3 linked regions of the Anolis sagrei genome follow. The protein of the gene in region 1 interacts with the protein of each later gene in a pairwise test. Links are inferred from orthologs where the notes say so. Each region holds a gene or a part of one and is shown on either strand. Other genes may lie near its edges.

Region 1 (7,035 bases):
TGCTTCTTTCTATGCACAATGCACAAGAACCCTAGATTTCACGTTAGGAGGATGAGATTAAGGGTTAGGAAATTGCCTAAGATAATTTAGCAAATTCACAACAGATACTCTAAAGTGGATTAGTCACTCTGCTGGGTCACTCTAGACCACTGCATCCCCTTAGTTCAATATTGAAACCTTTAAGAAACCAACAACTGAACAAAAATTGTCACTGTGCTATAGAGAGGGTCCTAACCTACTGCATCTGTGCATGGTTTGGTAACTGCACAGTGGCAGATAGGAAGGCGCTCCAAAGGATCACCACTTCTGCACAGAGTATCATTGGTTGCATTCTACCCTCTTTGAAAAATCCTGCAGATCTCTTGGGAAGACAAGCGGACAAATGTCAGCGTGCTGGAAGAAACAAAGACCACCAGCACTGAAGCGATGGTCTTCCACCATCAGCTCTGCTGGACCGGCCACATTGTCTAGCTGCCCGACCACCGTCCCCCAAAGCAGTTGCTCTATTCCGAACTCAAGAACGGAAAACGAAATGTTGGTGGACAGGAAAAGAGATTTAAAAATGGGCTCAAAGCCAACCTCAAAAACTCTGGCATAGACACTGAGAACTGGGAAGCCCTGGCCCTTGAGCGCTCCAGCTGGAGGTCAGCTGTGACCAGCAGTGCTGTAGAATTTGAAGAGGCACAACTGGAGGGTGAAAGAGAGAAACGTGCCAAGAGAAAGGCGCATCAAGCCAACCCCGACCGGGATTGCCTTCCACCTGGAAACCAATGCCCTCATTGCGGGAGAAGATGCAAATCAAGAATTGGGCTCCACAGTCACCTACGGTCACCACCAGTACACTGATCTTGGAAGACTATCCTACTCGGACAACAAGGGATCGCCTAATGAAAATGACCCTCTTTGGAAGAACTTTGTAGGTCCTGCAGCCTTAAGAAAGTTCAGTGCATTCTTGGGGATCCATCTCAGCTGACATATTTGTTTCTTAAATTATTACCATTTGGCAAATGGTACAGAGTGACAAACAAACTGAGAGACAATTTTTATCCTAGAGCTGTAACTATATTGAACTCCATGGCTTCGCTTTGATGTGGCATTGGAAGCTATGTGGTGGTGGTGGGAGTGTGGAGGGATGAGCGTGTTGTTTTGTGGTGTGTGCTGGGGAAAGCATTGGATTTCATTGTACAATGACAATAAAGTTATTCTATTTTATTGGCATCACAAAAATTTTGGGAGGTTTTTTGAATGCCGCTCACACGAATCTGTTGGCAACAATCTGCAATATTTACAATGGATTCTGCAGAAAATGCTTCAGCTGTATTCTGCAAAAAGGAAAATCAGCCTATTTAGTAAGCCTTGCAAATGCTGAGTTATTATCAATAAATCTTTGTACCTACTAGCCATCCCCTGCCACGCATTGCTGTGGCCCAGTCTGTGTATATGTGCTTTGTATGTATATATGTGTATATATTTGTGTATATGTGTGTGTGCATGTGTGTGTGTGTGGTTTTGCACATGCGTTGTAATGTGGTGAGGTTTTTTTGGGTTTTGTTGTTGTTGTTTTTTGTTTGTTTTTTTGCTTTTTAGGATGGCTCTTTGTCAGGAGGGCTCTGGTTATGTTTTCTTGCCCTGGTGAAGGGAGTTGGACTGGATGGGCTTAAGGCAGTATTTCTCAACCTGAGGATCGGGACCCCTGCAGAGGTCATAAAGGGGTGTCACAGGGGTCACCAAAACCATCAGAAAACAATATTTTCTGTTGGTCATGGGGGTTCTGTATGGGAAGTTTGGCCCAATTCTATCATTGGTGGAGTTCAGAATGCTCTTTGATTGTAGGTGAACTATAAATCCCAGCAACAACAACTCCCAAATGTCAAGATCTATTTTCCTCAAATTCCATCTGTGTTCATATTTGGGCATATGGAATATTTGTGCCAAGTTTGGTCCAGATCCATCATTGTTAGAATCCACAGTGCTCTCTGGATGTAGGTGAACTACAACTCCCAAACTCAAGGTCAATGCCCACCAAACCCTTCTAGTGTTTTCTATTGTTCATGGGAGTCCTGTATGCCACGTTTGGTTCAATTCCATCATTGGTGGAGTTCAGAATGCTCTTTGATTGTAAGTAAACTATAACTCCCAGCGACTACAACTCCCGAATGACAAAATCAATTTTTTGAGTGGTCACTCCTTGGTTTAATAGGTGTCTTGTGGCCAAATTTGGCAGCAATTCGTCCAGTGGTTTTTGAGTTCTGTTAATTCCACAAACGAACATTAAATTTTTATTTATATAGATATTTATCTATTGTTTTTTATTCCTCTTTTATATACCTATATATATCTGGGGTCACATGAACATCTCTCAGGTGGGAAAGGGTCATGAGTGGAAAACGTTTAAGAAGCCCAACTGCAGACTAGCCCAAGTTCCTGAGAAGTATTTCTCACATCCTGAAATGCTCATCATCTTATTAATAAATAACATCCCAAGTCATGCAACAAATTCCATACGGTCAATTCACCAGCTCTTTCATGTAGTCTCTCCTTGCTTCACTGCAACACCATTGTCATTTTTCTTTCTTACCTGTCAAATACTACTGCAGCATAGGCTCGTTCTGCAAAAATTACATCTCCAGCCCAAAATTCCTTGCTTGTCTTCAGCCCCCTGCCTTTGCCATCCGTGTCAAACACCTCCACTGTTTCCATGCCTCCTTTTGTTTCCTCAGGCTATCCAAGCTTGTAACACGGGACAATTCCAAGTGACTCAAATCTCTTATCACTTCTGCTCTTTAAAGCTTTCAAAGGACCACTCCTCTCAATGGGCTGTCTCTGTGCACCTCCCATCTAGTACTGCATTTCCATAGGGAAAAGGGGGGCATTATTCAGGTTGCCAAAGTGGCTTTGTAGGGGATGGGGGTTAGAGAAGAAAAAGGTGAGCTACATCTATCTATGGTAAGTGTTTGCTTCATTAGGAAAATGAAGAAACAACCTTCTTTCCAAAATCCAACATTCTTGTGCTTCCAACACAACATTTAGTTTACACTCTCCTATTGGGAAGATAATGCGTGTTCTTGGGAAGTATTTTTAGAAACCACATGCTTCTGCCTGTCAGGGGCCAACAGCTGAGAAAGTGCTAAGTAGCATGGCTGGTATGCAACACGCAGGAAGAGTCTATGCTATCTGCTTTTTTAAAAAACGAACTGAAACAATGCTACGTTTAGTTGACACAAAAGACTTCTCTGTGTGGCTGTATTTTGGAAGATCACAGACTGAAAATATACTCTTTGCAGCACAGAAGTTGCTCACAGGACACCAACTGAAACGATGGTAGAAGCTGGGTTGTTGTAGGGTTTTTTCGGGCTATATGGCCATGTTCTAGAGCAGTGTTTCTCAACCTGGGGACCCCTGAGGGGGTCGCGAGGGTGTGTCAGAGTGGTCGCCAAAGACCATAAGAAAACATAGTATTTTCTGATGGTCATGGGGATTCCATGTGGGAAGTTTGAGCCAATTCTATTGTTGGTGGAGTTCAGAATGTTCTTTGATTGTAATGAACTATGAATCCCAGCAACGACAACTCCCAAATGTCAAGGTCTATTTTCCCCGGACTCCACCAGTGTTCACATTTGGGCATATTGAGTATTCATGCCAAGTTTGGTCCAGATCTACCATTGCATGAGTCCACAGTGCTCTCTGGATATAGGTGAACTACAACTCCCAAACTCAAGGTCAATGTCCATCAAACCCTTCCAATGTTTTCCATTGGTCATGGGAGCCAAGTTTGGTTCAAATCCATCGCTGGTGGAGTTCAGAATGCTCTTTGATTATAAGTGAACTATAAATCCTAGTAACTACAACTCCCAAATTACAAAATCAATCCTCGCCCAACCCCACTAGCATTCACATTTGGGTGTATTGGGTATTTGTGCCCAGTTTGGTCCAGTGAATGAAAATGAATCCTGAATATCAGATATTTACATTATGATTTATAACAGTAGGAAAATGACTGTTATGAAGTAGCAATGAAAACAATATTATGGTTGGGGGTCACCACAACATGGGGGACTGTATTAAGGGGTCACACCATTAGGAAGGTTGAGAACCACTGTTCTAGAGGCTTTTCTCCTGACGTTTCACCTGCATCTATGGCAAGCATACTCAGAGGTAGTGCCATAGATGCTTGCCATAGATGCAGACGAAATGTCAGGAGAAATGCCTCTAGAACATGGCCATATAGCCCGAAAAACCTACAACAACCCAGTGAATCCGGCCATGAAAGCCTTCGACAATACGATGGTAGAAGCTGGTGGAAGGAGTTCGAAGGTTTCAGAGAAGTCTGGCACCACCTTCTGAAGCAGATGTGACAACGTCAGGAGAAAATGCTTCTAGAACGTAGCCATACAGCTCGAAAAACCTACAACAACCCAGACGTGACATCTTTGCTCGTCTCGTGGGTAAATGCTAGGTTATTCTCAAGCCAATAGGAACCCGACCAAGAGTGTAGGTAGGTCTTGAGTGCTAAAATAAAAATGAAAAAGAAGTTTTTGCATCACATTAAGTCAAATTCTGTGTTCTGCAATGGGTAGATTCCACAACCTAGTTGTGAAAATTAAACAAATTTGATTGGTTAATGTTGTTGTTGTTGTTGTTATTTTCCTGTTTTCTCTTAGAACTGTGATCCAAAGTGGCTCACAACTTTAAAATTTTATAATGGAAAAACCTACAAAATATAAATATAAATAGAGTTAAATGTTACAATTATTAAAAGAATTTAGTTAAAAAACTCACTAAAATGAGTAAGTGAAAAGCTGTTAACAACGCATTTATATTGCAAGTTCCACTATTCTATAATATTTTCAATGTTTCTGATTCATAGTAAGGGTGGGCAATGGGTTACATGCAGGCCCGTAGTCAGGATTCGAGGGGGTAGGGTCAGTTTGATTTGGGGGGGGGGGGTGAGGATCTACCCTAGTAAACCTTTTGTATCATTATCCCAATACCCCCATGCATATGGGATATATTGAGTATCATGATCAGATCATGATATGAATAAACATAACAGTTTAAATAATGTACCAGTAAAGCCTTCTCACGGACCACCCTGAGAATTTCGGGGGGGGGGGGCTGAAGCCCCTCAAGCCCTGCCCCCCCCCCCCCCGGCTACATGCCTGAAGGAGAAGAAAGCTTGCAGCTTAGATGCTGGGAGCTATAGTCTGAAAGAAAGTGTGTATAGGCCTTCTCGTGGATCACCCTGAGAATTTGGGGGGGGGGGGGCTGAAACCCCTCAAGCCCCCCCCCCCCCCCCCCCCGGCTACATGCCTGGTTACACGGCTTCTAGAGGTTACTGGACCACAGCTTCATCTCCCTAAATTAATAAAGCTCAGGACAATAGGACTTGCAATCCAAGAAGCATTTGGAAGGCCACAAGTTGCCCACTCCTTGTGAAAACCCTGATGCTACTCTTGCACCTGTTGGTTGTATTTAAAATACTGGAGGAAGGACAATATTTAACAGTGGTTTTGGCAGCAATATTTTTAAGTTTCTTCCTAATAACGGAGTGAACTAATTATATCAGTTTGCTGATATAATGCGGCATGTCCCATTAAGAGCCACATCCACTGTTTTAGAGTGGTGAGATGTGTTCCACACTGGGCATGCATACTCAGCAGCAGAGTAGCATAGCACAAAGGCAGATGTCTTCACTGTGTCTGGTTGTGATCCCCAGGTTGTGCCAATAAGCTTTCGTATGATATTGTTTCTAGCACCCACTTTTTGCTTGATATTCAGGCAGTGCTTCTTGTAGGTCAGAGCATGGTCCAGGGTGACTCTCAGGTATTTGGGTGTTCTGCAATGCTCCAGTGGGATTCCTTCCCAGGTAATCCTCAGAGCTCGGGATGCTTGTCTGTTCTTAAGGTGAAAGGCACATGTCTGTGTTTCAGATGGATCAGGGATCAGCTGGTTTTCCCTGTAGTAGGCGGTAAGGGCACCTAGAGCTTCGGAGAGCTTCAGTTCTACTATCTCAAAGCTCTCTGCTTTGGAATAACTGTCTTGCTGAAAATAACTGAAAAGCAGAAGGTTATTAAATGCCAGCCAGGGTTCTGGCTTCAACACAAATCACAGCTACAAGACAAAGCCTGTACTTGACCTGTTGGAGAAGAGGTGAGCTTTATTACTGAATTTGTCTAGTATACCACTCGGTAGAAACACATTCCACTAATTTAAGACATTAATTTCATTCTTATCTCGGGTCAGAGAGAACTCAGTAAAATAGCTCCATCATGTGGTGAAGAATGAGTCAGCCACTGTCCTAAAAATCACTAAGAACTTCAGAATCTGTCATGTCTTTTCTCTCTTTCTTTATAAAAGACATGACAGATTCTGAAGTTCATGTCTTTTATAAAGAAGGAGAGAAAAGACATGACAGATTCTGAAGTTCTTAGTGAATACATCACATGTATTTATAATATGCTACTTGGCTGGAAGACGGAGACAGAAACAGTCAAGGAGTGTATGATAAAATGGGCAAGGAACATCGGCAGACCCATCAAACTAGAAGAATGGGAAAAAATCTGGAGCAAGAAGATAAAGTACACCTACTCCACAGATTTAAGAGAAAATTGGTATAAGCTCTTCCACAGATGGTATATGACGCCCCAGAAATTGGGACTCATGTACAAAAACATCAAGAACAACTGTTGGAAGTGTGAAAAGCAAGTCGGAACTTTCTTCCATCAGTGGTGGACTTGCCCTATAGCCCAAACATATTGGAAGAAGATAAATGACTCCTGCGAAGAAATACTGGAGATGAAGTTATACACCAAAGCAGAAAGTTACCTGCTAGGTATCTTTGAAGAAGAATGGGAACTGGACACGAACAAGGATATTCTACTAACCTATCTAACAACTGCGGCGAGAATAGTTTTTGCGAGATACTGGAAATCGAATAAAGTGCCATCAAAAGAAGAATGGATAACAAAAATATGTGAAATAAGAGAGATGGATATTTTGACCTTTGCTCTGAAGGACTCGTACGGTCGCCCTCTG
Region 2 (7,725 bases), on another chromosome or scaffold:
TTCTTTTTCTCCGAGTTTTGATAGTTCCTTTAAATAAAAAGGCTTTCCTCGTTTCCTCTGGGCTTCCCAACCTTTGGTCCTCAACGTGTTGGGACTTCAACTCCCAGAAGCCCTAGCAGCTTGGTCAACGGTAAGGAATTCTGGGAAACGAAGTCCAAAAACTCTCGAGGCCTAAAGCATGGGAAGCACTATTCAAGGAGGAGGTGAAGATCTCGGTTTATAGACATTAAACCGCTGATGGGGATAGGAAAGGGCTTGAGGCTGTTAGGAATTGTGGGAGTTGGAATCCAAAATACTTGGAAGGCCAAAGTTTGCCCAGGCTTACTACAGAGTCTTTATATGGAAAGAAATCCCATGACTTTTAATCGTTCTTTTGTGCCTTCAAGTAGCGATTCTAAGGCGCGTTTATCACAGGCTTTACTTGGAGGTTTGCCAGTCCCATCCTTTGAGGCTGAGAGAGTGTGACTTGCCCAAGGTCACTTAATGGTTTTCCATGGCAGAGCAGGGATTCGAACCCAGGTCTTTTAAACCAGGGTTGAATTCCTTTGTGGCTGTGGAAACCGATCGGGTGATCTTGGGCAAGCCACACTGTCTCAGCCTCAGAGGAAAGCAAGTCCTACTGAAGGAGAAAAAACTTTTATAGGCTTGAAATAAGTTGGGAATGACTTAAAGACAGGCAAGCCGATGAAGGAAGTGATGCAGTCGAAGCCTAAGTCTGAGAGAGATGTGGAAATTATAATGATGCAACATCACTATCATCTTCTTTATCTTTTCCCAACATAATAACAATAAACAACTTTATTCGTATCCCGCCATATCGCCCTGGGCCGCGCTTGGGTGAAACCAAATGGGACCAAATGGACGCTGCCTTTCTTTTTCTCCGAGTTTTGATAGTTCCTTTAAAGAAAAAGGCTTTCCTCGTTTCCTTCCCAACCTTTGGTCCTCGACGTGTTGGGACTTCAACTCCCAGAAGCCCTAGCAGCTTGGTCAACGGTAAGGAATTCTGGGAAACGAGGTCCAAAAACTCTCGAGGCCTAAAGCATGGGAAGCACTATTCAAGGAGGAGGTGAAGATCTCGGTTTATAGACATTAAACCGCTGATGGGGATAGGAAAGGGCTTGAGGCTGTTAGGAATTGTGGGAGTTGGAATCCAAAATACTTGGAAGGCCAAAGTTTGCCCAGGCTTACTACAGAGTCTTTATATGGAAAGAAATCCCATGACTTTTTATCGTTCTTTTGTGCCTTCAAGTAGCGATTCTAAGGCGCGTTTATCACAGGCTTTACTTGGAGGTTTGCCAGTCCCATCCTTTGAGGCTGAGAGAGTGTGACTTGCCCAAGGTCACTTAATGGTTTTCCATGGCAGAGCAGGGATTCGAACCCAGGTCTTTTAAACCAGGGTTGAATTCCTTTGTGGCTGTGGAAACCGATCGGGTGATCTTGGGCAAGCCACACTGTCTCAGCCTCAGAGGAAAGCAAGTCCTACTGAAGGAGAAAAAACTTTTATAGGCTTGAAATAAGTTGGGAATGACTTAAAGACAGGCAAGCCGATGAAGGAAGTGATGCAGTCGAAGCCTAAGTCTGAGAGAGATGTGGAAATTATAATGATGCAACATCACTATCATCTTCTTTATCTTTTCCCAACATAATAACAATAAACAACTTTATTCGTATCCCGCCATATCGCCCTGGGCCGCGCTTGGGTGAAACCAAATGGGACCAAATGGACGCTGCCTTTCTTTTTCTCCGAGTTTTGATAGTTCCTTTAAAGAAAAAGGCTTTCCTCGTTTCCTTCCCAACCTTTGGTCCTCGACGTGTTGGGACTTCAACTCCCAGAAGCCCTAGCAGCTTGGTCAACGGTAAGGAATTCTGGGAAACGAGGTCCAAAAACTCTCGAGGCCTAAAGCATGGGAAGCACTATTCAAGGAGGAGGTGAAGATCTCGGTTTATAGACATTAAACCGCTGATGGGGATAGGAAAGGGCTTGAGGCTGTTAGGAATTGTGGGAGTTGGAATCCAAAATACTTGGAAGGCCAAAGTTTGCCCAGGCTTACTACAGAGTCTTTATATGGAAAGAAATCCCATGACTTTTAATCGTTCTTTTGTGCCTTCAAGTAGCGATTCTAAGGCGCGTTTATCACAGGCTTTACTTGGAGGTTTGCCAGTCCCATCCTTTGAGGCTGAGAGAGTGTGACTTGCCCAAGGTCACTTAATGGTTTTCCATGGCAGAGCAGGGATTCGAACCCAGGTCTTTTAAACCAGGGTTGAATTCCTTTGTGGCTGTGGAAACCGATCGGGTGATCTTGGGCAAGCCACACTGTCTCAGCCTCAGAGGAAAGCAAGTCCTACTGAAGGAGAAAAAACTTTTATAGGCTTGAAATAAGTTGGGAATGACTTAAAGACAGGCAAGCCGATGAAGGAAGTGATGCAGTCGAAGCCTAAGTCTGAGAGAGATGTGGAAATTATAATGATGCAACATCACTATCATCTTCTTTATCTTTTCCCAACATAATAACAATAAACAACTTTATTCGTATCCCGCCATATCGCCCTGGGCCGCGCTTGGGTGAAACCAAATGGGACCAAATGGACGCTGCCTTTCTTTTTCTCCGAGTTTTGATAGTTCCTTTAAAGAAAAAGGCTTTCCTCGTTTCCTTCCCAACCTTTGGTCCTCGACGTGTTGGGACTTCAACTCCCAGAAGCCCTAGCAGCTTGGTCAACGGTAAGGAATTCTGGGAAACGAGGTCCAAAAACTCTCGAGGCCTAAAGCATGGGAAGCACTATTCAAGGAGGAGGTGAAGATCTCGGTTTATAGACATTAAACCGCTGATGGGGATAGGAAAGGGCTTGAGGCTGTTAGGAATTGTGGGAGTTGGAATCCAAAATACTTGGAAGGCCAAAGTTTGCCCAGGCTTACTACAGAGTCTTTATATGGAAAGAAATCCCATGACTTTTTATCGTTCTTTTGTGCCTTCAAGTAGCGATTCTAAGGCGCGTTTATCACAGGCTTTACTTGGAGGTTTGCCAGTCCCATCCTTTGAGGCTGAGAGAGTGTGACTTGCCCAAGGTCACTTAATGGTTTTCCATGGCAGAGCAGGGATTCGAACCCAGGTCTTTTAAACCAGGGTTGAATTCCTTTGTGGCTGTGGAAACCGATCGGGTGATCTTGGGCAAGCCACACTGTCTCAGCCTCAGAGGAAAGCAAGTCCTACTGAAGGAGAAAAAACTTTTATAGGCTTGAAATAAGTTGGGAATGACTTAAAGACAGGCAAGCCGATGAAGGAAGTGATGCAGTCGAAGCCTAAGTCTGAGAGAGATGTGGAAATTATAATGATGCAACATCACTATCATCTTCTTTATCTTTTCCCAACATAATAACAATAAACAACTTTATTCGTATCCCGCCATATCGCCCTGGGCCGCGCTTGGGTGAAACCAAATGGGACCAAATGGACGCTGCCTTTCTTTTTCTCCGAGTTTTGATAGTTCCTTTAAAGAAAAAGGCTTTCCTCGTTTCCTTCCCAACCTTTGGTCCTCGACGTGTTGGGACTTCAACTCCCAGAAGCCCTAGCAGCTTGGTCAACGGTAAGGAATTCTGGGAAACGAGGTCCAAAAACTCTCGAGGCCTAAAGCATGGGAAGCACTATTCAAGGAGGAGGTGAAGATCTCGGTTTATAGACATTAAACCGCTGATGGGGATAGGAAAGGGCTTGAGGCTGTTAGGAATTGTGGGAGTTGGAATCCAAAATACTTGGAAGGCCAAAGTTTGCCCAGGCTTACTACAGAGTCTTTATATGGAAAGAAATCCCATGACTTTTTATCGTTCTTTTGTGCCTTCAAGTAGCGATTCTAAGGCGCGTTTATCACAGGCTTTACTTGGAGGTTTGCCAGTCCCATCCTTTGAGGCTGAGAGAGTGTGACTTGCCCAAGGTCACTTAATGGTTTTCCATGGCAGAGCAGGGATTCGAACCCAGGTCTTTTAAACCAGGGTTGAATTCCTTTGTGGCTGTGGAAACCGATCGGGTGATCTTGGGCAAGCCACACTGTCTCAGCCTCAGAGGAAAGCAAGTCCTACTGAAGGAGAAAAAACTTTTATAGGCTTGAAATAAGTTGGGAATGACTTAAAGACAGGCAAGCCGATGAAGGAAGTGATGCAGTCGAAGCCTAAGTCTGAGAGAGATGTGGAAATTATAATGATGCAACATCACTATCATCTTCTTTATCTTTTCCCAACATAATAACAATAAACAACTTTATTCGTATCCCGCCATATCGCCCTGGGCCGCGCTTGGGTGAAACCAAATGGGACCAAATGGACGCTGCCTTTCTTTTTCTCCGAGTTTTGATAGTTCCTTTAAAGAAAAAGGCTTTCCTCGTTTCCTTCCCAACCTTTGGTCCTCGACGTGTTGGGACTTCAACTCCCAGAAGCCCTAGCAGCTTGGTCAACGGTAAGGAATTCTGGGAAACGAGGTCCAAAAACTCTCGAGGCCTAAAGCATGGGAAGCACTATTCAAGGAGGAGGTGAAGATCTCGGTTTATAGACATTAAACCGCTGATGGGGATAGGAAAGGGCTTGAGGCTGTTAGGAATTGTGGGAGTTGGAATCCAAAATACTTGGAAGGCCAAAGTTTGCCCAGGCTTACTACAGAGTCTTTATATGGAAAGAAATCCCATGACTTTTTTCGTTCTTTTGTGCCTTCAAGTAGCGATTCTAAGGCGCGTTTATCACAGGCTTTACTTGGAGGTTTGCCAGTCCCATCCTTTGAGGCTGAGAGAGTGTGACTTGCCCAAGGTCACTTAATGGTTTTCCATGGCAGAGCAGGGATTCGAACCCAGGTCTTTTAAACCAGGGTTGAATTCCTTTGTGGCTGTGGAAACCGATCGGGTGATCTTGGGCAAGCCACACTGTCTCAGCCTCAGAGGAAAGCAAGTCCTACTGAAGGAGAAAAAACTTTTATAGGCTTGAAATAAGTTGGGAATGACTTAAAGACAGGCAAGCCGATGAAGGAAGTGATGCAGTCGAAGCCTAAGTCTGAGAGAGATGTGGAAATTATAATGATGCAACATCACTATCATCTTCTTTATCTTTTCCCAACATAATAACAATAAACAACTTTATTCGTATCCCGCCATATCGCCCTGGGCCGCGCTTGGGTGAAACCAAATGGGACCAAATGGACGCTGCCTTTCTTTTTCTCCGAGTTTTGATAGTTCCTTTAAAGAAAAAGGCTTTCCTCGTTTCCTTCCCAACCTTTGGTCCTCGACGTGTTGGGACTTCAACTCCCAGAAGCCCTAGCAGCTTGGTCAACGGTAAGGAATTCTGGGAAACGAGGTCCAAAAACTCTCGAGGCCTAAAGCATGGGAAGCACTATTCAAGGAGGAGGTGAAGATCTCGGTTTATAGACATTAAACCGCTGATGGGGATAGGAAAGGGCTTGAGGCTGTTAGGAATTGTGGGAGTTGGAATCCAAAATACTTGGAAGGCCAAAGTTTGCCCAGGCTTACTACAGAGTCTTTATATGGAAAGAAATCCCATGACTTTTAATCGTTCTTTTGTGCCTTCAAGTAGCGATTCTAAGGCGCGTTTATCACAGGCTTTACTTGGAGGTTTGCCAGTCCCATCCTTTGAGGCTGAGAGAGTGTGACTTGCCCAAGGTCACTTAATGGTTTTCCATGGCAGAGCAGGGATTCGAACCCAGGTCTTTTAAACCAGGGTTGAATTCCTTTGTGGCTGTGGAAACCGATCGGGTGATCTTGGGCAAGCCACACTGTCTCAGCCTCAGAGGAAAGCAAGTCCTACTGAAGGAGAAAAAACTTTTATAGGCTTGAAATAAGTTGGGAATGACTTAAAGACAGGCAAGCCGATGAAGGAAGTGATGCAGTCGAAGCCTAAGTCTGAGAGAGATGTGGAAATTATAATGATGCAACATCACTATCATCTTCTTTATCTTTTCCCAACATAATAACAATAAACAACTTTATTCGTATCCCGCCATATCGCCCTGGGCCGCGCTTGGGTGAAACCAAATGGGACCAAATGGACGCTGCCTTTCTTTTTCTCCGAGTTTTGATAGTTCCTTTAAAGAAAAAGGCTTTCCTCGTTTCCTTCCCAACCTTTGGTCCTCGACGTGTTGGGACTTCAACTCCCAGAAGCCCTAGCAGCTTGGTCAACGGTAAGGAATTCTGGGAAACGAGGTCCAAAAACTCTCGAGGCCTAAAGCATGGGAAGCACTATTCAAGGAGGAGGTGAAGATCTCGGTTTATAGACATTAAACCGCTGATGGGGATAGGAAAGGGCTTGAGGCTGTTAGGAATTGTGGGAGTTGGAATCCAAAATACTTGGAAGGCCAAAGTTTGCCCAGGCTTACTACAGAGTCTTTATATGGAAAGAAATCCCATGACTTTTAATCGTTCTTTTGTGCCTTCAAGTAGCGATTCTAAGGCGCGTTTATCACAGGCTTTACTTGGAGGTTTGCCAGTCCCATCCTTTGAGGCTGAGAGAGTGTGACTTGCCCAAGGTCACTTAATGGTTTTCCATGGCAGAGCAGGGATTCGAACCCAGGTCTTTTAAACCAGGGTTGAATTCCTTTGTGGCTGTGGAAACCGATCGGGTGATCTTGGGCAAGCCACACTGTCTCAGCCTCAGAGGAAAGCAAGTCCTACTGAAGGAGAAAAAACTTTTATAGGCTTGAAATAAGTTGGGAATGACTTAAAGACAGGCAAGCCGATGAAGGAAGTGATGCAGTCGAAGCCTAAGTCTGAGAGAGATGTGGAAATTATAATGATGCAACATCACTATCATCTTCTTTATCTTTTCCCAACATAATAACAATAAACAACTTTATTCGTATCCCGCCATATCGCCCTGGGCCGCGCTTGGGTGAAACCAAATGGGACCAAATGGACGCTGCCTTTCTTTTTCTCCGAGTTTTGATAGTTCCTTTAAAGAAAAAGGCTTTCCTCGTTTCCTTCCCAACCTTTGGTCCTCAACGTGTTGGGACTTCAACTCCCAGAAGCCCTAGCAGCTTGGTCAACGGTAAGGAATTCTGGGAAACGAGGTCCAAAAACTCTCGAGGCCTAAAGCATGGGAAGCACTATTCAAGGAGGAGGTGAAGATCTCGGTTTATAGACATTAAACCGCTGATGGGGATAGGAAAGGGCTTGAGGCTGTTAGGAATTGTGGGAGTTGGAATCCAAAATACTTGGAAGGCCAAAGTTTGCCCAGGCTTACTACAGAGTCTTTATATGGAAAGAAATCCCATGACTTTTTATCGTTCTTTTGTGCCTTCAAGTAGCGATTCTAAGGCGCGTTTATCACAGGCTTTACTTGGAGGTTTGCCAGTCCCATCCTTTGAGGCTGAGAGAGTGTGACTTGCCCAAGGTCACTTAATGGTTTTCCATGGCAGAGCAGGGATTCGAACCCAGGTCTTTTAAACCAGGGTTGAATTCCTTTGTGGCTGTGGAAACCCATTGGGTGATCTTGGGCAAGCCACACTGTCTCAGCCTCAGAGGAAAGCAAGTCCTACTGAAGGAGAAAAAACTTTTATAGGCTTGAAATAAGTTGGGAATGACTTAAAGACAGGCAAGCCGATGAAGGAAGTGATGCAGTCTAAGCCTAAGTCTGAGAGAGATGTGGAAATTATAATGATGCAACATCACTATCATCTTCTTTTTTCTTTTTCCAACATAATAACAATAAACAACTTTATTTGTATCCCGCCCTTTCGC
Region 3 (7,565 bases), on another chromosome or scaffold:
TGACATTAGTTTTGCTGTTTGGTTTTATTTTATTGTTTTTAATTTATTTTATTGTATTGTATTTCTGGGCTTGGCCTCCCCTTTGGGGAGATGGTGGCGGGGTATAAATAAAGATAATAATGCTGCTGATGATGATGATGATTATTATTAACACACACACACACATATATGTATGTGACAGATATAATATCATAGATTTGAAAAGGACCCTTAAAGAAGGACAATTATAAGTTGCATGTTCCAGAGTAGACAAACCAGACTATCTCTATATGTTTACCCACAAGACATTACATATATTAGAAACAAACACTTTCTCATTACTTTATTTTCCAGAACACCAGACTGGGCCACAGCAACGTGTGGCAGGGGATAGCCAGTATATTATATATTATTATACTGTACTTTATTATTATTCCATACTATATATATATACTACCAGTATATTACGTTGTTTAGAAGAGGAGGAAAGGGGGGGGGGGGTCTGAATGGATTTTGTCATTTGGGAGTTGTAGTTGGTGGGATTTATAGTTCATCTACAATCCAAGAGTATTCTGAACTCCACCAACGGTGGAATTGAACCAAACTTGGCACACAGAACTCCCATCACCAGCAGAAAATACTGGAAGGGTTTGGTGGGCATTGACCTTGAGTTTTGGAGTTGTAGTTCACCTATATCCAGAGAGCACTGTGGACTCAAACAATGACAGATCCGGACCAAACTTTGAGCGAATATTCCATATGCCCAAATATGAACACAGATGGAGTTTGGGGGAAATATACCTTGACATTTGTGAGTTGTAGTCACTGGGATTTATAGTTCACCTACAATCAAAGAGCATTCTGAACCCCACAAACAATAGGGGCAAACTTCCCACACAGAACCCCCATGACCAACAGAAAATACTGTATTTTCTGGTGGCCTTTGGCGACCCCTCTTGACACCACCTTGTGACCTCCCCAGACATGCTGCCTTAAGGCCATCCAGTCCGTCACCAGGGCAAGAAAACAAAGCCTTCCTGATAAAGAGTCATCCAGCCATATATATAGATAGATATATATGATTCTCTCTCACACATATATGTACATGACAGATGTAGTACAGATTTGAAAGGGACCCCTAAAGGACAATTATCTGTTGCATATTCCAGAGTAGGCCAACCAGACTATCTCCACATCAACACTGACGAAGAAAATACTTAAGGCCATCCAATCCAGCTCCCTTCACTAGGGCAAGAAAACATAATCAAAGGTCTCCTGACAAAGAGCCATCCTGCCATAGATATACTAGTGATCCCCTGCCACGCGTTGCTGTGGCCCAGTCTGGTGATCTGGAAAATAAAGTAATGAGAAAGTGTTGGTTTCTAATATATGCAATGTCTTTATGCTTGTGAGTAAACAGTATTTCTTGCTGTTTCTTTGCCAGGGTTGTGGAGATTGTCTGGTTTGCCTACTCTGGAACATGCAACATATCATTGTCCTTCTGTAGGGATTCCTTTCAAATCTATGATACTGCATCTGTCATATACATATATATGTGTGTGTGTGAATGGCTGGATAGCCCTTTGTCAGGAGGGCTTTGATTATGTTTTCTTGCTCTGGTGAAGGGATTGGACTGGATGGCCTTAAGGCTGCCTTTCTCAACCTGGGGTTTGGGACCCCTGGGGAGGTTGCGAGGGGGTGTCAGAAGGATCATCAAAGACCAAAAGAAAACACAGTATTTTCTGTTGGTCATGGGAGTTGTGTGTGCCATATTTGGTTCAATTCCATCATTGGTGGAGTTCAGAATGCTCTTTGAGTGTAGGTGAACTATAAATCCCAGCAACTATAACTCCCAAATGACAAAATCATAATTTTTGAGTGATGGTCACTCCTTGTGTTGTGAGACATTTTGTTGCCAAATTTGGTGTGATTTTGTTCATTGGTTCTTTTGTTTTTAAGGTACTCATTATGCACAGAGCATTTACATATATATATATATAGATAGATAGATAGATATATGATTCACACACACAGAGAGATACAGTATCATAGATTTGAAAGGGACCCCTAAAGAAGGACAATAATATGTTGCATGTTCCAGAGTAGGCAAACCTGATAATCTCCACATCAACACTGACAAAGAAACAACAAGAAATACTGTTTATCCACAAGCATCAAGACATTGCATATATTAGAAACCAACACTTTCTCATTACTTTATTTTCCAGAACACCAGACTGGGCCACAGCAACGCCTGGCAGGGGACAGCTAGTATATTATATATTATATTGTACTTTATTATTATGCCACAATATATATAATACACTACGATGTTCAGAGAAGGAAAGATGAGGAGGAAGGGGGGGGGGTTCTGAATGGAGGAGTAAATAAAGGCGGAGGGGCGGGGCAGGATCCCGAGGGGGCGGGGCTTGCCTGTCCCCGCCTCATTCCCACCACTATTATTATTGTTATCGTTTATTTCTATGGCGCCATCAAGGTGCGCGCCAGCCTTACAAGCAAAACAACCCCGAAGCAAGCACACAGGCACATTTCCCAGCTCAGGGGCGACGGTGGCCCTTAAGGGACTTCCCACAGAAAAGGCGCTCCTCTTCCTCCCATCCCAGCCCCTTCATTACCTGCGTTTGGCGAGGCCCTCTCCTTCTCCGGGCCCGGGGTATTGACGTCTCTTTATTTTTAACCTGCGTGTGCGGGCGGGAAGCCGGCCTTTCCCTTTTTTTTCCCGTCGCCTCGGCTTCCGCCGCCGCCTCCCCCTAGCTGGCCCCGCGCGTAGGCCCCTTTTGGGCCATGGCGGCCACCGTCGCCGCCACCCCCCCTCCCACCCACCACAGCCGTTGGGCTTCCCCTGCGCTCGCGCCGCGGGCGTTGGGAAAACGGGGAGGGGAGGGGGGGAAAGAGAGGAGGCAGAGGGCCCCGCGCAGGCGCACTGAGGGGGGAAGGGACGGTGGCGGCGCGCGGCCACTCACGCGCTCTCTCTCTCTCTCTCAATCCCTGTCTGCTCCCCCCGCCCCTCCCCTCTTCCTTCGCCGAGCCGGGCACTTTGTTTGTGTCCCACAATGCAACGCGGCGTCTGCTGAGGAAGCAAGCAAGCAAGCAGTGAGGGAGGGAGAGAGGAAAAAAATAGTAGGCGGGGTTAAATCAGGGAAAAGGGAAAGAGTGCGCGCATGCGCCTCGGAAGGGAGGGCGGGCGGGCTGAGCGGGAACGCGCTTGAGGGCGGGAGCGCGCGCGCGAGAGAGACCATTCCTACTGAGGAAGAGCTTCTCAAGGGAGGGAGGGAGGAGAGAAGAGCCATCTATCTAGATCTATTTATTTAACATCTATCTATCTATCTATCTATCCATCCATTTATCTATCTATCTATCTATCTATCTATCTATCTATCCATCTATCTATTTCTCTGTCTATCTATCCATCCATCCATCCATCCACAAACCCACCCATCCACAAACCCACCCATCCATCCATCCATCCATCTATCTATCCATCCATCCATCCACAAACCCACCCACCCACCCATCCATCCATCCATCCATCCACAAACCCACCCATCCATCCATCCATCCATCCATCCATCCATCCACAAACCCACCCATCCATCCATCCACAAACCCACCCATCCACCCACCCACCCATCCATCCATCCATCCATCCATCCACAAACCCACCCATCCACAAACCCACCCACCCACCCATCCACCCATCTATCTATCCATCCATCCACAAACCCACCCATCCATCCATCCACAAACCCACCCATCCATCCATCCACAAACCCACCCATCCACCCACCCATCCATCCATCCATCCACAAACCCACCCACCCATCCATCCATCCATCCATCCACCCACAAACCCACCCATCCACCCATCCATCCATCCACAAACCCACCCATCCACCCACCCATCCATCCATCCATCCACAAACCCACCCACCCACCCATCCATCCATCCATCCATCCACCCACAAACCCACCCATCCACCCACCCATCCATCCATCCACAAACCCACCCATCCACCCACCCATCCATCCATCCATCCACAAACCCACCCATCCATCCATCTATCCATCCATCCATCCATCCATCCACTAACCCACCCACCCATCCATCCATCCATCCACAAACCCACCCACCCATCCACCCATCCATCTATCTATCCATCCATCCACTAACCCACCCACCTACCCATCCATCCACCCACAAACCCACCCATCTACCCACCCATCCATCCATCCATCCATCTATCTAAATAAATAAATAAAAAGGTTATGTTCGTTTGCGGGATTAACAGAACTCAAAAACCACTGGATGAATTGACACCAAATTTGGCCACAAGACACCTAACAACCCAAGGAGTGACCAACACTAAAAAAATTGATTTTGTCATTTGGGAGTTGTAGTTGCTGGGATTTGGGTTTTGGAGGGAATAGGAGCCAGTTTGAGTTCAGTCCACACAGAAAAGCTTTCCATGCAGGACATAATACCAAGAGCTCCTGTAGAAAGCTTCGTCTTCTACAGCTTGGCCGGGGAGATATACAGCCTACAGCTTAGCTGAGGATCATACAGTCTTACAGCTCCTTTGCGGAGGGACTTCAGTCAACCATCACTGAAACCTGAACTCCTTTTCCCCTGGAGATCTACAAAGCTCTGCTTGGTAAGGGTCTCTCGCAGAGCCAGAAGCAGTTGTTACTGGGTGTAGGGGCTCCATGCCAACAGAGGCAAAGAAAGACTGCCCAGATTAGAAGTTAAGGATTTCCCCATTAGTTAAAATACCAGTCATGAAGATAGTGCCTGTTCCCTGTGGACAAGATTGAAAGAGCCAATAGACTGTTAAGAAAGCCTTAAAGCAGTGGTTCTCAACGTTCCTAATGCTGCGATCCCTTAATACCGTTCCTCAGGTTGTGGTGACCCCCAGCCATTAAATTATTTTCATTGCTACTTCATAATTGTAATTTTGCTACTGTTATAAATTGTTATGTAAATATCTGATATGCAGGATGTATTCTTATTCACTGGACCAAACTTGGCACAAATACCCAATATGCCCTGATTTGAATACTGGTGGGGTTGGGATGGGAGGATTGATTTTGTCATTTGGGAGTTGTAGTTGCTGGGATTTATAGTTCACCTACATTCAAAGAGCATTCTGAACTATACCAAACTGGTATAGTTCAGAATGAAACTGGACCAAACTTTGCACACAGAACTCCCATGACCAACGGAAAATACTGGAAGGGTTTGGTGGGCATTGACCTTGAGTTTGGGAGTTGTAGTTTGCCTACACCCAGAGAGCACTGTGGATTCAAACAATGAAGGATCTGGATCAAACTTGGCACAAATATTCAATATGCCCAAACGTGAACACTGAAGTTCGAGGAAAATAAACCTTTACATTTGGGAGTTGTAGTTGCTGGGATTTATAGTTCACCTACAACCAAAGAGCATCCAGAATTAGGCCAAACTTCCCACACAGAACTCCCATGACCAACAGAAAATATTGTCTGTGATGGTCTTTGGCGACCTCTCTGACACCCCCTCGCGACTCCTCCAGGGGTCCCGACCCCCAGGTTGAGAACCACTGCCTTAAAGTACCTGTTTGTTTTCATTAATAAAGAACTTTGTTGAACCTTTAAGCAATCTAAAGACTCTGTTTTAAGGAAATCCAAGGGCCTTTAATCTGAGGCATCCCCGGCATCCCCTTTGGGCACACAGAATTTATGTCCTGTCTACAGTCTTATGCACAGGCCCAGCATGCGACAGCACATATGCCATCTATGTATATGTATGTATATGAGTTTGTATGTATATATGACTCATCTTTACATAGAAACACACAGAGATATGATAAGAATCGTAAAGTATTTTACGGAAAAGTACCACATAAATGCAGGGTTTTGGGAGGTCCATTTTGGGGATAAAATTTCTAGATGTACATCCAATACTTGGAAAATAGCATCTGTATAAATGTATATATAAGTTACAGCCCGCCTTTCTGCCAGTATGGGGCCCAAGGCAGTTCACAATAGTCCAGCTGAAGTCTTATTGTAGGAAAGTTTCCAAAAAGATTAAACTATTTAAGCCAAAGGCTTACCAAGCATCTAGTTTTATAGCTTCTTTGAGTTTGGTCTTTTGAGAAGACCCTCGGACTTCACATGGAGTTTTGTCTCCTCATCCTGTAAAGGCTCAGCCCTCGTAATGTCACGTGCCACGATGCCCTTCCTTGTTTCTCCCTTTCGAAAGGACACTACTTGGTCAACTATCACCCTTGAACTGCTCAATGCCTTTCAGTATCGCATCATAATGGATCCTGATGATGACAAAACCGCCTCAGAATTTTCCATTGGGCCTCCATTCTGTTCTGGAGGCTGTTGTCAAGGTGAAGAGTTTTGCGAACCTCTCTTGTATAAGTGACTTACAAATTGCTGTGCTTTGTGAATGTTATTGCTGATTAAAGTTAACAAAAATATCAATCATCCAAATCAACTTTCCAAACATTGATTACAGCATACAAGGCTGTTCATAGTTCTGCAGCTGATGTGGGTTTTTAAAGTCAACCTTTCCTCTTTGCCTAAATTTTTTGTCTTTTAAACTATTGTGGTTAAAGTATTACAAACAAAGAGTAGAATTTATTCCTCCTCAGTCTCTTTTTTCTAGTTAGTTATTAAAGAGATCGCCTCTGAAAACAATGTAAGCCTATGCTTAAAATACAAACCAGTTAGTCTTAATCTTCTTCCTTCTCTGATTTGTGCCACAAAATCTCAACTTCTGAAACCATCTCCGCTCATGTTTAGGAGTATGAATGTGGAAGGGCAATGCTAAGGAAATTGTAACTTCCATTGAATTCAGTTACTGCTAACTATGCTCAATATCAAAATCTCAGTTTGTTAAAATACTGTATATTATGTAGAGAATCAGTATGGTAAAGTGGTTTGAGTGTTGGACTGGGGCAACTGGGAGACTAGGGTTCGAATCCCCATTTGGCCACAGAAAACCACTGAGCAGCCTTGGGCAACTTGCATTCTCTCAACCTCAGAGGAAGGCAAAGGTAAATCCCTCGTGAACAAATCTGTCCAGGAAAGTCACATAATTGGGTCGTTTTAGGGTTGCCATACGTTCAAAATGTCTTTAAGAAACGCAACAACAAATAAAATAGTCATAATGTTTTCCAATCAGAGGCTGCACAACTTAGATTGCCAATTTGCTGACCAGCAGTCAAGGAAAAAAGCTACTGTCTTCATGTCAGGCTTTTGGGTTTTCAAGAGTCATCTAGACCAGTGTTTCTCAACCTGTCAGAGGGGTCGCCAAAGACCATCAGAAAACACAGTATTTTCCGTTGGGCATTGGGGTTCTGTGTGAGAAGTTTGACCCAATTCTACCATTTGTTGGGTTCGGAATGCTCTTTGATTGTAGGTGAACACTAAATCCCAGCAACTACAACTCCCAAAAGTCTAGGTCTATTTTCCCCAAACTCCGTCAGTGTTCACATTTGGGCATATTGTGTATTTGTGCCAAGTTTGGTTCAGATCTATCATTGTTTGAGTCCAGAGTGCTCTCTAGATGTAGGTGA

What was found.
Region 2: the proteins of SMYD1 (region 1) and FAM204A interact in binary tests that used the Homo sapiens proteins (3 or more experiments, as listed by UniProt). The link is inferred for Anolis sagrei from reciprocal best matches to the Homo sapiens genes SMYD1 and FAM204A.
Region 3: the proteins of SMYD1 (region 1) and ZBTB44 interact in binary tests that used the Homo sapiens proteins (3 or more experiments, as listed by UniProt). The link is inferred for Anolis sagrei from reciprocal best matches to the Homo sapiens genes SMYD1 and ZBTB44.

The regions. Positions count from the first base shown.
Region 1 is NC_090026.1:54,919,496-54,926,530, forward strand, and holds the start of SMYD1 (histone-lysine N-methyltransferase SMYD1), read right to left. Parts: upstream 3,029-7,035; 5' UTR 2,701-3,028; coding exon 2,579-2,700; intron 1-2,578. UniProt on the Homo sapiens protein: Methylates histone H3 at 'Lys-4' (H3K4me), seems able to perform both mono-, di-, and trimethylation. Acts as a transcriptional repressor. Essential for cardiomyocyte differentiation and cardiac morphogenesis.
Region 2 is NC_090023.1:203,236,821-203,244,545, forward strand, and holds the start of FAM204A (protein FAM204A), read left to right. Parts: upstream 1-4,683; 5' UTR 4,684-6,897; coding exon 6,898-7,033; intron 7,034-7,725.
Region 3 is NC_090027.1:32,875,906-32,883,470, reverse strand, and holds the start of ZBTB44 (zinc finger and BTB domain-containing protein 44), read right to left. Parts: upstream 3,043-7,565; 5' UTR 2,616-3,042; intron 1-2,615. UniProt on the Homo sapiens protein: May be involved in transcriptional regulation.